3 linked regions of the Oryzias latipes genome follow. The protein of the gene in region 3 interacts with the protein of the main gene of each other region in a pairwise test. Links are inferred from orthologs where the notes say so. Each region holds a gene or a part of one and is shown on either strand. Other genes may lie near its edges.

The links. The genes of interacting proteins can lie anywhere in the genome.
Region 1: the proteins of stx12 (region 3) and snap29 interact in binary tests that used the Homo sapiens proteins (3 or more experiments, as listed by UniProt). The link is inferred for Oryzias latipes from reciprocal best matches to the Homo sapiens genes STX12 and SNAP29.
Region 2: the proteins of stx12 (region 3) and probable E3 ubiquitin-protein ligase DTX2 interact in binary tests that used the Homo sapiens proteins (3 or more experiments, as listed by UniProt). The two-hybrid records come from large-scale screens. The link is inferred for Oryzias latipes from reciprocal best matches to the Homo sapiens genes STX12 and DTX2.

What each region holds. Positions count from the first base shown.
Region 1 is NC_019867.2:6,078,943-6,083,218, reverse strand, and holds the start of snap29 (synaptosomal-associated protein 29), read right to left. Parts: upstream 2,904-4,276; 5' UTR 2,779-2,903; intron 1,082-2,778; coding exon 848-1,081; intron 739-847; coding exon 545-738; intron 1-544. Other genes in the region: phosphatidylinositol 4-kinase alpha, read left to right, coding at 3,146-3,244. UniProt on the Homo sapiens protein: SNAREs, soluble N-ethylmaleimide-sensitive factor-attachment protein receptors, are essential proteins for fusion of cellular membranes.
Region 2 is NC_019872.2:28,224,046-28,228,323, reverse strand, and holds the start of probable E3 ubiquitin-protein ligase DTX2, read right to left. Parts: upstream 2,904-4,278; 5' UTR 2,264-2,903; coding exon 1,954-2,263; intron 1,580-1,953; coding exon 991-1,579; intron 1-990. UniProt on the Homo sapiens protein: Regulator of Notch signaling, a signaling pathway involved in cell-cell communications that regulates a broad spectrum of cell-fate determinations.
Region 3 is NC_019869.2:17,746,026-17,748,426, forward strand, and holds the end of stx12 (syntaxin-12), read right to left. Parts: coding exon 2,387-2,401; intron 2,161-2,386; coding exon 2,088-2,160; intron 1,492-2,087; coding exon 1,409-1,491; intron 1,330-1,408; coding exon 1,237-1,329; 3' UTR 651-1,236; downstream 1-650. UniProt on the Homo sapiens protein: SNARE promoting fusion of transport vesicles with target membranes. Together with SNARE STX6, promotes movement of vesicles from endosomes to the cell membrane, and may therefore function in the endocytic recycling pathway.

The sequences.
Region 1 (4,276 bases), on a different chromosome or scaffold from region 3:
TGTGAAACTATCAGTGTGAATAAAACATTCTAAAAAAAGTGGGCTGCCTTTCAGATAACTTTTTTTTTATTCAAAAGTTTCTTTAAAAAATTAAGAAATTGAAAAAAAATTAAATGTATTTTTAATTAGTTAACTTTACAAAACAATATTTTTTTATTCGAAATATAAAGCTTTTTTTGTAAGCATTTTTTTTCAGAATTGTCAATCTTTTCCCCCCAAAACTGATTTAAGACTTTTAAAAACAGACTAAAATTTGAGACAGAGATCACTCTCTTGTCTTGGGGGTTTTGAATATTATTCCTGTAAATGTAGGACAAGATTGAGCCTGAAAGGTGTTAGAAGTGAGTAAAAATAATCACCAAACACGTAAATGACATGTTGGATTCTCTGAAAAGGAAAGTTGTGTTTATAAGAAGCTGAAACCAATGTTAAATAAGTAAGGTAAGAATATTTAAAAAGATTCTGGATTTCAATTAATGTTAACTGTAAAATGATGACAGTCAACAAGCACTTCTAATCTAAAGAAGAAATAAGTAAAGCGTACCTTTCATTGGCCTGGTAGGTCGTTGGCTCCTCAGCTGGCGGCTTTGTCTCTGGTTTGCTCTTAAAATAATTGACAAGTCCTCCCCATACACTCTTGATGCTGTTGATATGTTTTTGGCTGGTCTTGAGGTCCTGATCCATGTTGTCCAACATCTTGTCGGTCCTCTTTAGAACCTCACCCTGACGTACCAGCTCCTATGAAGGAAGATGAACCAGGTTTCTCAAACTGCCGCTCTCTCAGAAACATTCAGAAATGATGTCTGCATTTGAATAAATCTGATTTTATATGATTAGATTTACACACTTCTGCAGTTTCCACACCCATCTTCTCTGATTCATAGATCAGGCCAAGAGAGCGGTGACTGCTGTCCACAGCAGATTGAGCTGTACGCATCACTTCCTGCTGCAGGTACCTCTGCCGCCTCTGTGCTTCAGTCAACCCATCATCGGGGTCATCATCAAAACCCCTGCTTTTAGGCTTAAAATCTTCCTCATCGTCATCATCTGCAAATGGATTGTGGGATTTAGGGTAGGCCATCTGTAAAGAAAAGTCAGTTCAGAAAATAAAAAAAGAAAAATAAATTAATCTCAGCTGCGCCTCTCATTTCACGGCATCAAAAATAGGAGATGAGTGGTAACAAGTTACATTTACATAAGGAACTAACTGTAAAAGATGAGTTTCATAACACTCTTACTCAGCTGCAGTGAGTTTCTTAATTGTTTTGTTTGTTCTAGTTAAAAAAGCACAATGACTTGGTTTTTACAACGGCAGAGAACTGCAAAAAAAAAAAAAAAATCCACCATTATAAACATAATAAGGCTTGGTTTTTGACTTTATGGCCATAACACATCAGGGGATCCTCTATCAATATTTTGAAATATTACAGACAGAATACTATGTGTAAAGCACATTAAATATAACATATTTAAAAGTCCAATTAATACTCATAATTGGACTTTGTTTATTAACTAAGTAGAGACATAATTTTATCAATTCTAAGAAGGATAACTGATATAATTATTGAATTTGGTATGCCCAATTTATGATTTTTGACAATATCAGATTTTCCAGTGTCATAAAACTTGTCAATCCAAAGCAAGTAGACCTTGCTAATTAATATCTCACTGGAAAGACAGGAAGCTATCAATAAATCTCATTGTTGCCAAAAAGATTCACCAAAGACATATTGTTCTTCCATTTGGTTAGTTTAACAATTTATTTTAGAATCTGGAAATAGTAGTATTTGCTCTTCAGTTTACCCTTTGCTTTACTACGGTAATTTCCATGAATAGTTAAAGTAATAATTAATCCGGTGCTAAGTACTCAAGCAGAATTTTTCACTAATTGTTTTACCCTACTAGTCATTCAACTATTTACTCGAGTAAATAGTTTAATGACTAATGTTTCCTTTTATTTGAGTTTTCTTTAAGTAATTTGTTATATTTAGACACAAGGTATTTCACTAGAGTAAACAGCTGTTTTTCTGTGAGAAAAAAAAAGCTTTAGGCGTATTTAAACTTTTTGAGCACATCTATGATAACTCTTATTCATCCAGGACGCTGTTCCATAGCAGAAAACGTTTGAAATTGGTCACTAAGACATAAAAAACAAAATGTTTTACATTTAAAAAGCTAAGTTTAAACCCTACTCTACTGAAACAAACGTAAACAAAAACAATAACAACAAGAAAGACAATATAATCAGCAAACTGCTAAAAATTATTGATAAAAAAAATAAAGCTTTCACAACAATAAAAAGTGGTGGGGGGGGGGGCACAAAAATGAAACAAAAACATTTGTCATTTCAGAATATGGGGGGGGGGATCGATCAACCAATTGATTGGTTAGCAATTCAGACAGTCAGACAGTATTGCGTAACAAACTTTTCGAAGAAATATTATTAAAGGCTAACTGGTCCTCATGTTGCAAGTTTTATGAACAAAAAACATACGGATGATATTTTAAAAGAATATTATCATGTTTTTTTCATTTACTTAACGGCCGAAGAACGTAAAAAAGAACGAAATGAATGATTTTTGATATAAAACTCGAGGGTGTTGTCAGGCTGCTATCACTCACACAGACCTAGCTTTTCTAGAAAGATCATAAATAAGTCAACAAATTAAAAAAAATACAATAAAAGCAGCAACAAAACAGAGTTGATGGTCATTCTCACACGACACACTACAGTTATAACGACACCGCAAAACTGTAAAGAAAACCAACTCGACAAACCTTCGATGATTTTGTGTTAATATCAGCTGACAGAAGAGAGCGACTCCTCTTCCTGTTACGTCAGATGACGTCACCGCGTCCAACGGTCAATCGTCCGCAACCAATTCGCAAACTAAAACATAAAGTGTTTTTATTCATAAAAAAAATTGAATAAATAATTGCTATTACACAATTATGTTTTTTACTCCATTTCACCCAGAATAATTTATAAATAAAATCCTTTTTTAAAAGTAAAATACGCTTTTGGGAAGTATGTCTTCTCCCGGCCGCCGTACTGCGGCTCTCCCAGCTCCCAGTTGCAACGCCCCCCCCGCCTCGAATCCTCTCCTGATTGTATTCATTGCTCTGCCTTCATGTAGGGGCGATCATGTCTGTGATAGGAGGTGGAACGAGAAGCTTTTATTTTAACACAGTTCTGTCTCTGGCTCGATCTCTCGCCGCCCAGCGTCCAGCACCGCTCGAAAAGGTACAAACGAAGGAACCCGGGTGTAAATTAGCGTTATTTGGCCAAGTTGGTAGCGACAGTCAGTTGGTGGTGAGGGTGTTGCTTCGCTTCCGCACAGGAGGCGGTGTCTTGTTTTGGTCCCAAATATGACAGGCAGGCTGATTGTTTTTGACGGATCTGTTGGGAATCGATTGCGTGGCGGCGTGACTGCGGGGTTTGTGTGAGTGGAGAAGGAGGGAAACCGAGGGCACCGGGTCCCGGTGAGGCGCCCGGTACCGCGTCAGGCGGAGCGGGGCTTTCACAGCACTGCAGTCAAACAGGTTTAAAGACTGGAAAAAGTTGATTGTGTTGACAAGGCGAAAGGACAACCTGTTGACACTGGAAGATGGAGCAAAGGAGACGAGGGGAAAAAAACGTCGAGTTTGATCATTCTAATGGATCATCACTTGGAAAATACATCATGATTATACATCACTGATTGATTCCACTTTGAACCAATTTGTTACGGTTTTAACATATGTTGGTATTTAATTTAAAAATTCGCGATTTTATTAATGTTTACTTGAAGTCACTATGTTCTTAAAATTAAATAACACTTTTTATAAATGGAAATAATTCATCTAAGTAAGTTGAAATGGAATTTATTGTCGTTTCTTGTTTAAATAGTTTATAGGTTGAATAAGGCAGATAGATGCTATTTTATCACCATAATTTTGTTGTTACACTTTCCTTTTTTTTGAGTATCAAAGATTGCAACCAAGTAAGTAACCAAGAAACATTTCAGTCGTCTTACTTACCGGTAGTCTTACCTGAGTATTGGCTTAACCAGACATATTAAATTTCCAGTTAAATTTAAACCACATTTATTCTGTATTTGTACTCTTGCTTGTGTAGTTTTTACACTTTGTTTCTAAGTTGATTTGCTTTTCTCTCAGGAACGTCACATTTAATCATCAACCTACCCACCTGTTGCACCTTATGTCTTGTGTGTTTTGTGTCAAAAGGGTGTATATTTTTCTGCATTGTCTGCAGTTTTGAGATGCAACGGTTTTT
Region 2 (4,278 bases), on a different chromosome or scaffold from region 3:
CAAAAAAAAAAAAATGCATTAAAATGTATTTTTTTAATAAATCATTAATGTTTTTATCTTCAGAAGACAGTAGACTCATAAATACTCGTCCAAAAACGCTCATATCAGTTCGATTTTAACTTTGTGAAATCGATGACGTCATATCCGCCGTCTAAAAAATACAAGTAGTGAGCGTGGCGTCCGAATCGCTTTAACATTCAGGGCGCTACACAGTGCTGCACTATGTAGTTTGGGGTTAGGGTGGGAATTCAGACACAACCAAGGATTTTATTCTCATTTTATTTGATTTCACAGAACTACCTTAAAATAAAAAAAAGATAAAATAAAGATAAAAATAATGCATAATCAATTATCGAAGATGGTTAAAATGAGTGATTTCTAATTACATTACTTCACTTGCTCCAAAAATGGATTCATGGTTTTTCTTAATGAAACTTAATTTTGCACATATTTTTAACTTTTGAACTTTGATCAATTTTTGATATTGAAGATTTTTGAAACAGTGTTATGTCTATTTTACTGATATAGTATTATTTTTTAATCATATACATCATTGTTCTAATGAATATAATCAGCTTATATTTTAGATAATTGATCTGCATTTGCTATTTCTAAAATAGAGTTATGTCTATTTTTACATAATAATTAAGAAATTCATCTTTATCATGAGATTTATTGACACCAAAAGATTCTTAATTCTGTCTGATAAAAGTTCTGAACCGGATAAAGATAAAACATGTAATAAAATATGCTGATTGTATTGTTTTTGTGTATTTTTCTTCCTTGATTGCTTGAAATAAACCATTTCAAATCAAAAATCAAATCAAATCAAAATGTAAGAGTTCCTATTTTATCCATGTCTGTCCCACATTTGTTCAGGTAAAACCATTTGACCCCACAAAGTGACTTCAGATCCGTGTTGGCGACTGGAACGGGACCGGCAGCGTTTTAGCAGATACCAGAAACCCCGGACAGAGAGGCGGAACCCACCTGAGCCCGTTGGCGCTGGCGGAGCCGCTCAGGTGCGACGCCGAGATCTGACTGGCAGAGGGAGGGGGGAGCCAGGGGCTGCCCCAGGATATCCCCCCAACAGAGTGGGGCCTCCGGGGATACGGCGAGTAGACGGAAGTGGGGTGGGTCGCGGCTGCCCTTCCTGGTCCCTGCAGGCCGGGTCGGTTCAGACTCCCCGAAGAAAAGGAATGTCGGGAGCGGCTGGGCATGGGCCCCGTGCTGCTGTGGCTCAAACACTGCTGGCAGGAGCAGGCCGGCCCCAAGGGGACAGCCGGGGGCCCCGGGGACGCCAGCGGGAACGGGGAGTTGCCCAGTCTACGAACCTGCCGTCTGAAACCCGTTGATTTGTTGACCTGGGCGAAAGACGTGAGGTCCACAATGTAGTTGTATCCGTGAGGGCCCAGGTCGGCGGTCCCCTGGCGGGCCTGGTAACTGTGCTCCAGAAGGATGGAAGTTCTGGTCTCGTACGGAGTCCAGCCCCCTTCATCGTTGGCCCATTCCCAGTAAACGCCACTGCCGAGGCCCGAAGACTGGGGGAACAGAGACCGGCGCACGGAGCGCGTGGTTCCTGCACAAAAACCCGCAAATGAGTTTACCTTCAGCAAGACAGTACTCTTTGTAAGAGTACTACAAAAGGTACTTGGTCTATACTAAAAGTGATGCACTTGAAGTTCACTTCCATACTGTCTATTCCTGGACTCAAAATGTTCCAAGAAATACTCAGTTACTTCACTAAATCTACATAGTCTCTAGTATTCTAGCTATACGTGTACTCAAGTATACTTAATAAAATAAACTTAAAGTGTACTGCTGCTTTCTAGACCAGCTGACTGAACCAACATCATCTTCTCAGAAATGCAGTTTAAAAAGACAAAATGAACGACGGAAACCAGAATCTCTGATCTGAATCCGGACTTCAGGTGTGGTGCTGAAGCGGTTTACCTGTATCCTGTCGAAACTGCTTCAGGCTCGGTATGTCGATGAGGTAGGGGGACAGACTGGGATCTGATTGTCCGAGGCAGACGCTGGTGGAGCTGGGTCCGGCTCCCCGGTGGCCCCGCGGGGACAGGGACCGCTCGATGTGGGAGCAGACCTGGCCGCTGTACGGCCGCCAGAAGCCCTGGTCGTCCTGCCATTCCCACACCGCTATCATTGGCTGAGACTGTCCGACTGACGGGGACGGCGCGGCGGACACCGACGGCCCGTTTCTGGAGCTGCTCACCCGGGAACACGATCCAGACACAATCGCCATATTCACCGACCGAGGTACTAGCTAAGCTAACGGCGGCTCGTTCTAGCTAGCCGATCGGGGCTACGACAAAGCCAAAGTCCGCGGGGCTAGCTTGGCTCACTAAAGAGCTTCATTATGAACGTGGGAGCATGAAGAGGCCTGCAGGTAAAACACTACGCGCTCTCCGTGAACACCAAGGTGCATGTTGACATTTCTATCAGGGGAAACGCTAGCTTTACAACTGCGTTGCTAAGGTTCCTCCTCTGCTCCACCAGCTGCCTTCACGCGCCCTCTGAATTTTTGCATTCAAACCGATGACAGGTTGGCTCAACTCAGATTCGTAAAACAGAATTTTAATCTGTAAAAACATGCAAGCACAAAACAAACATAAATATCTACTTGCTAGTGTTGCTGGTTTAAATGACTTTAAATTGCTTACATTTAAACCCCACTATACAAAAAGCGTCCTTCATTACCTCTTTTTTTTTCAAAGTCTGTGGTGAGTCGGGGACAGATGGGAGAATGTACATTTCTTGAGTAGATCTGTGTGTTTTTTAATTCTAAAGCCAAACACTTCAAAGACCAGAGTACGCGGCTTTATTAACCAAAGAACAAATAACCTTTCAAGAAGAACACATTACCGTTCAAAATTACGTTTACAAAGTCTCCCTGAACTTCACACTCTTCTTCTTTTAAAACAACAACCTCTTCCTCTTTTTGGAATCTTCAAAAACTCTGCTGCCCCCTAACGGAGACAAAACGGTACGACAAAATACTCAGAAGAGGAAAGGTTGAGCAAAAGAAAACTACGACTGTTGGATCAAAGGGAACTGTAAAAAAATAAAAGATGTGTTCAATTTGCCACAAGAATTACATTAAAAAAAATTGTCAGAATGTCACAATTTTCCGAACTGGTTAAAACCAAGTCCTCATGATCTTAGTATTTACATTTGTACAATGGTACTCCAAACATAAAATATTACAGTTTTATTATTAAACTTCAAAACTTAGTTCCACATAGACAATAGAAATTATATTAGAGACTCTATAATATTGAATAATACAATCATATTATTTATTATTATTTCAACGTAAGAATATATGTTTAGACAAAAATGTTTGAAATCCCTTAAAGCAAATGTTGGGTGAAATTTTTTTTTATTGTTGTTTGAAATAGCACAAAATCATAAAAAGAACACTTTTGTTTTTTGGACACTGGGAAAAAGAAAAGATTTTAAAATAAAAGAAAACTAAGTAATTGTTTACCCCCGGAAATTTTATGAAAAAACACTTTGTTTTTTCTTTAAGGTGAGTATGAAGCAGAAGCATCGGTTTGCATCAATAGTGCGTCAAAGGCTTAAATGAAACCCCGGTGTCTCCTGTTTGCTCGGATCATCTCTGAGATGCGTGGGCTTCACTGACGTCCACCCGCGGTTCTGGAGTCGGTTGGGTTTGAGAGGACACCTACCTGTCTGCATGAGAGCTTTCATTCAGCAGAACATGTCAGAAAGGGAATGTCTGTGGACCTCTGAGGCCCAAATAAAGAAAAACGATGCAAAAAAACCCAGGTTCTGGTGCCTTGAAGGTTTAAATGTCAAAAAGGCCCTTTTCATTTAATAAACTGACGCCTCCCTGAGGTTTACTCTATTTGAAACAAGACATAAAACATTTGGAAAAAGTGAATAAGCCCTGAATGCACTGCTGGTAGAAGGATTCATGTTTAGTGTTTCCACCTTTAGAGCCGCCACATGAAAGATGAGGAAACCTTCCTGATCTTTCTGAAATTAACAATTCATGAACTGAAAGTTTTGAAGTTTTGCAGCAGCAGCAAACTTCTCCTTTTGCAAGACTGTACGCTTTTAGGAGATTAAACCCAAACGCTTCATAAAGTTACCTTAATCATAAAGAAAACCAAACTGGGACGAGGCCGTTTCAGTAAAAATATATGTCCTACCATCATTTTTAATTTTCCAAAAAGACACAGTGTCCAGAGAGTTTATTGCCAAATATAAATGACTGTTTTTAATTATCCGTAA
Region 3 (2,401 bases):
CTGTATTTATTTAATATTTATTTCTTTCCTAAATAAGAATCTCATTTTTGATAATTTTTCATAATAATTTTAGTAATATTTTTAATTATCTAATATAAATGTAATTTGTGATGTCCTTTATAGATGTTATATTATATAGATTATTTCTGAATGTCGTGTTGCTGCCACAGAAATGAAATTTCCCCATTGTGGGATTAATAAAGTCATCTATCTAAATCCTGGGGTGCTGATCATTTTAGCCATATCTGTATACAAAGAGTTTATTTTAAAGTAGGAATGGGATTTTCTTATAATTTATGTCTGAATTCAGATAGTTTTACATATTAAAGATTCAAAATAGGAACGTTTCCCCCAGCCCACATTCATTGTTGCCGTCTTTAGGCTAAAATGAGCAAATTTTATACTAGCAATAAAATGTGTTTGAACATTTTATACTTTGTTTAATAAGGAGTAGATCCATAATTTAAGCCAATCACTGCATTCTGTTTGTACTTTAATTTTTCTTAGTTTTCCAGTTGTATTAGTCCTGTATCACATGCTTACATTACAGAAAAGAGCATGACCATGGATAAGGCATGATGGGAAATCTACACATTCTGCAGTGATTCACACTTTGTGCAGGTTTATAAAAGAACACAAGTGCAAAAGAATATGAGCGCTTATGATGTTTATTGTGCATACTGTAGGGAGTCACAGAAATCCATTTTATACACCGCATATGAAAACAACAGCCTTTCTAGTTCAGTGCTGAAAACAGACATGGATGTTTATCATTTACAACATGTACAACCGACCGCTATTAGACGCTGTTATAATGAAAGAAACAAAGCATAGCCAGACCTGGAGCTTTCTTAAAGCAGCAGAGGAAACAAAACAGAGAAGAAATAAATCACCTAAACAAGATGCATTATTTCAGTTATCATTAAAAATACATTAGTAAATAGCATTAGTGTGGTAAATAAGACAAGGGAGGTGTAAGTACATTTAAGGACTTTCATAAATTAGACAGTATTCTGTTGTCTGTTCCTTCTTCAATCAGACAAAATAGATTCTTTAACTACTTTACAAATAAACGGACTGGATCCTTTCAGATGAAATGTTCACGTTGACTGTGGCACAAACCCCCTGCTGTGCTGACGGCTTTCCAGCTTTCTTGCCGTTCCAATTGAATGCTATAAGGTGGAAAGGGGGCGGGGCTAAAATGGAGTGTTCAACCACCGAATGTGGGACTTCAGCTCACTTGCACGCCCACCAGATAAGGAGGGCAAGGACGAGGAGGATAAGGGAGCAGACCATGGCAAAGATGCACATCTTCTTTCGAGACTTTTGCTGAGGAGCGGAAAACACAGAAAGGTGAGCTGGAACCTGCGCTCTATGGCGGCTGTGGGAGGGGCGGGTGCAGGCTCACCTGATAGTGTACCGCTCTCTGTAGCTGGTCCCTTCCTCGCTCTACGTGAACCTCAGCGCTCTCCACATTCGCTTCTATGCTGTCTGAAAGGCGGAACATACACCGTCATCAACTGGAAAGTAGCAACAACCCTTAATATGCCAGGATTACAACTTCTGTTTTTTTTAGAGGAATATTATTTTTCAGTACTGATACTATTTATTTCAGAAAGTTACTTAACCATTTGTTGGTTAAGTAACCATGTGTTGACGTTCTTTCTATTGTTTTGGATGAGGACGTTTGTTCACCCTTTCAAGCAGAAGTTACCTGGCACAGAAAAATCTTCAGTTACAAGATATTTCTTTAAGCTTCTGGCATCAACCACTGCAACAGTTTGGCCAACGTTTTTTTTTTTTTTACCCTAGTTTGGACAAAACGTCCTTCTGCTTTCCCTCTTCCTAAAACTCAAACATCATCCAATCAGTGATGGATGTATAACACCTACCTTTTCCAGTTTCTTATATTGTTTCAGTGGTTTTTGGAATTTTGTTTTTCTAATTTCTAAAATGCAAGTTTTTTGGGTTCTTTTTTTTATTGTCGTTGTGATCTTTTCATATGTTTTTGCATTGAGGGGTTTGTTGATGTAATTTGCACTTCAGGGCCACCGTAGATGGGAATGACCACAACAAATCTTGCTTACCAACCATCTCTCCTTGGTCGTGAATCATTACCGCCAAGTCCTTAAAGATCTGGTTTACATCCATGATGTCGGACTGAAATAAACAGACAAAACACAAGAGTCAGCTGAAGAACGGGCCCCCGTTTCCCCATGAAACACAAAAACTTGACTGGGAGCCTATTTTATTAGAGATGTCGGATCCGCCCACCTACTGATTACGGTACCAGAGAAGCAGCAAGAGCAGAAAATGATTTAAAGGAAGCAGGAAGTCGGTAGTTGGAGACTGGCTTTGAGTGAAAGTGTGCAGAAATCAGACTCACCTCCAGCTGTCGGAT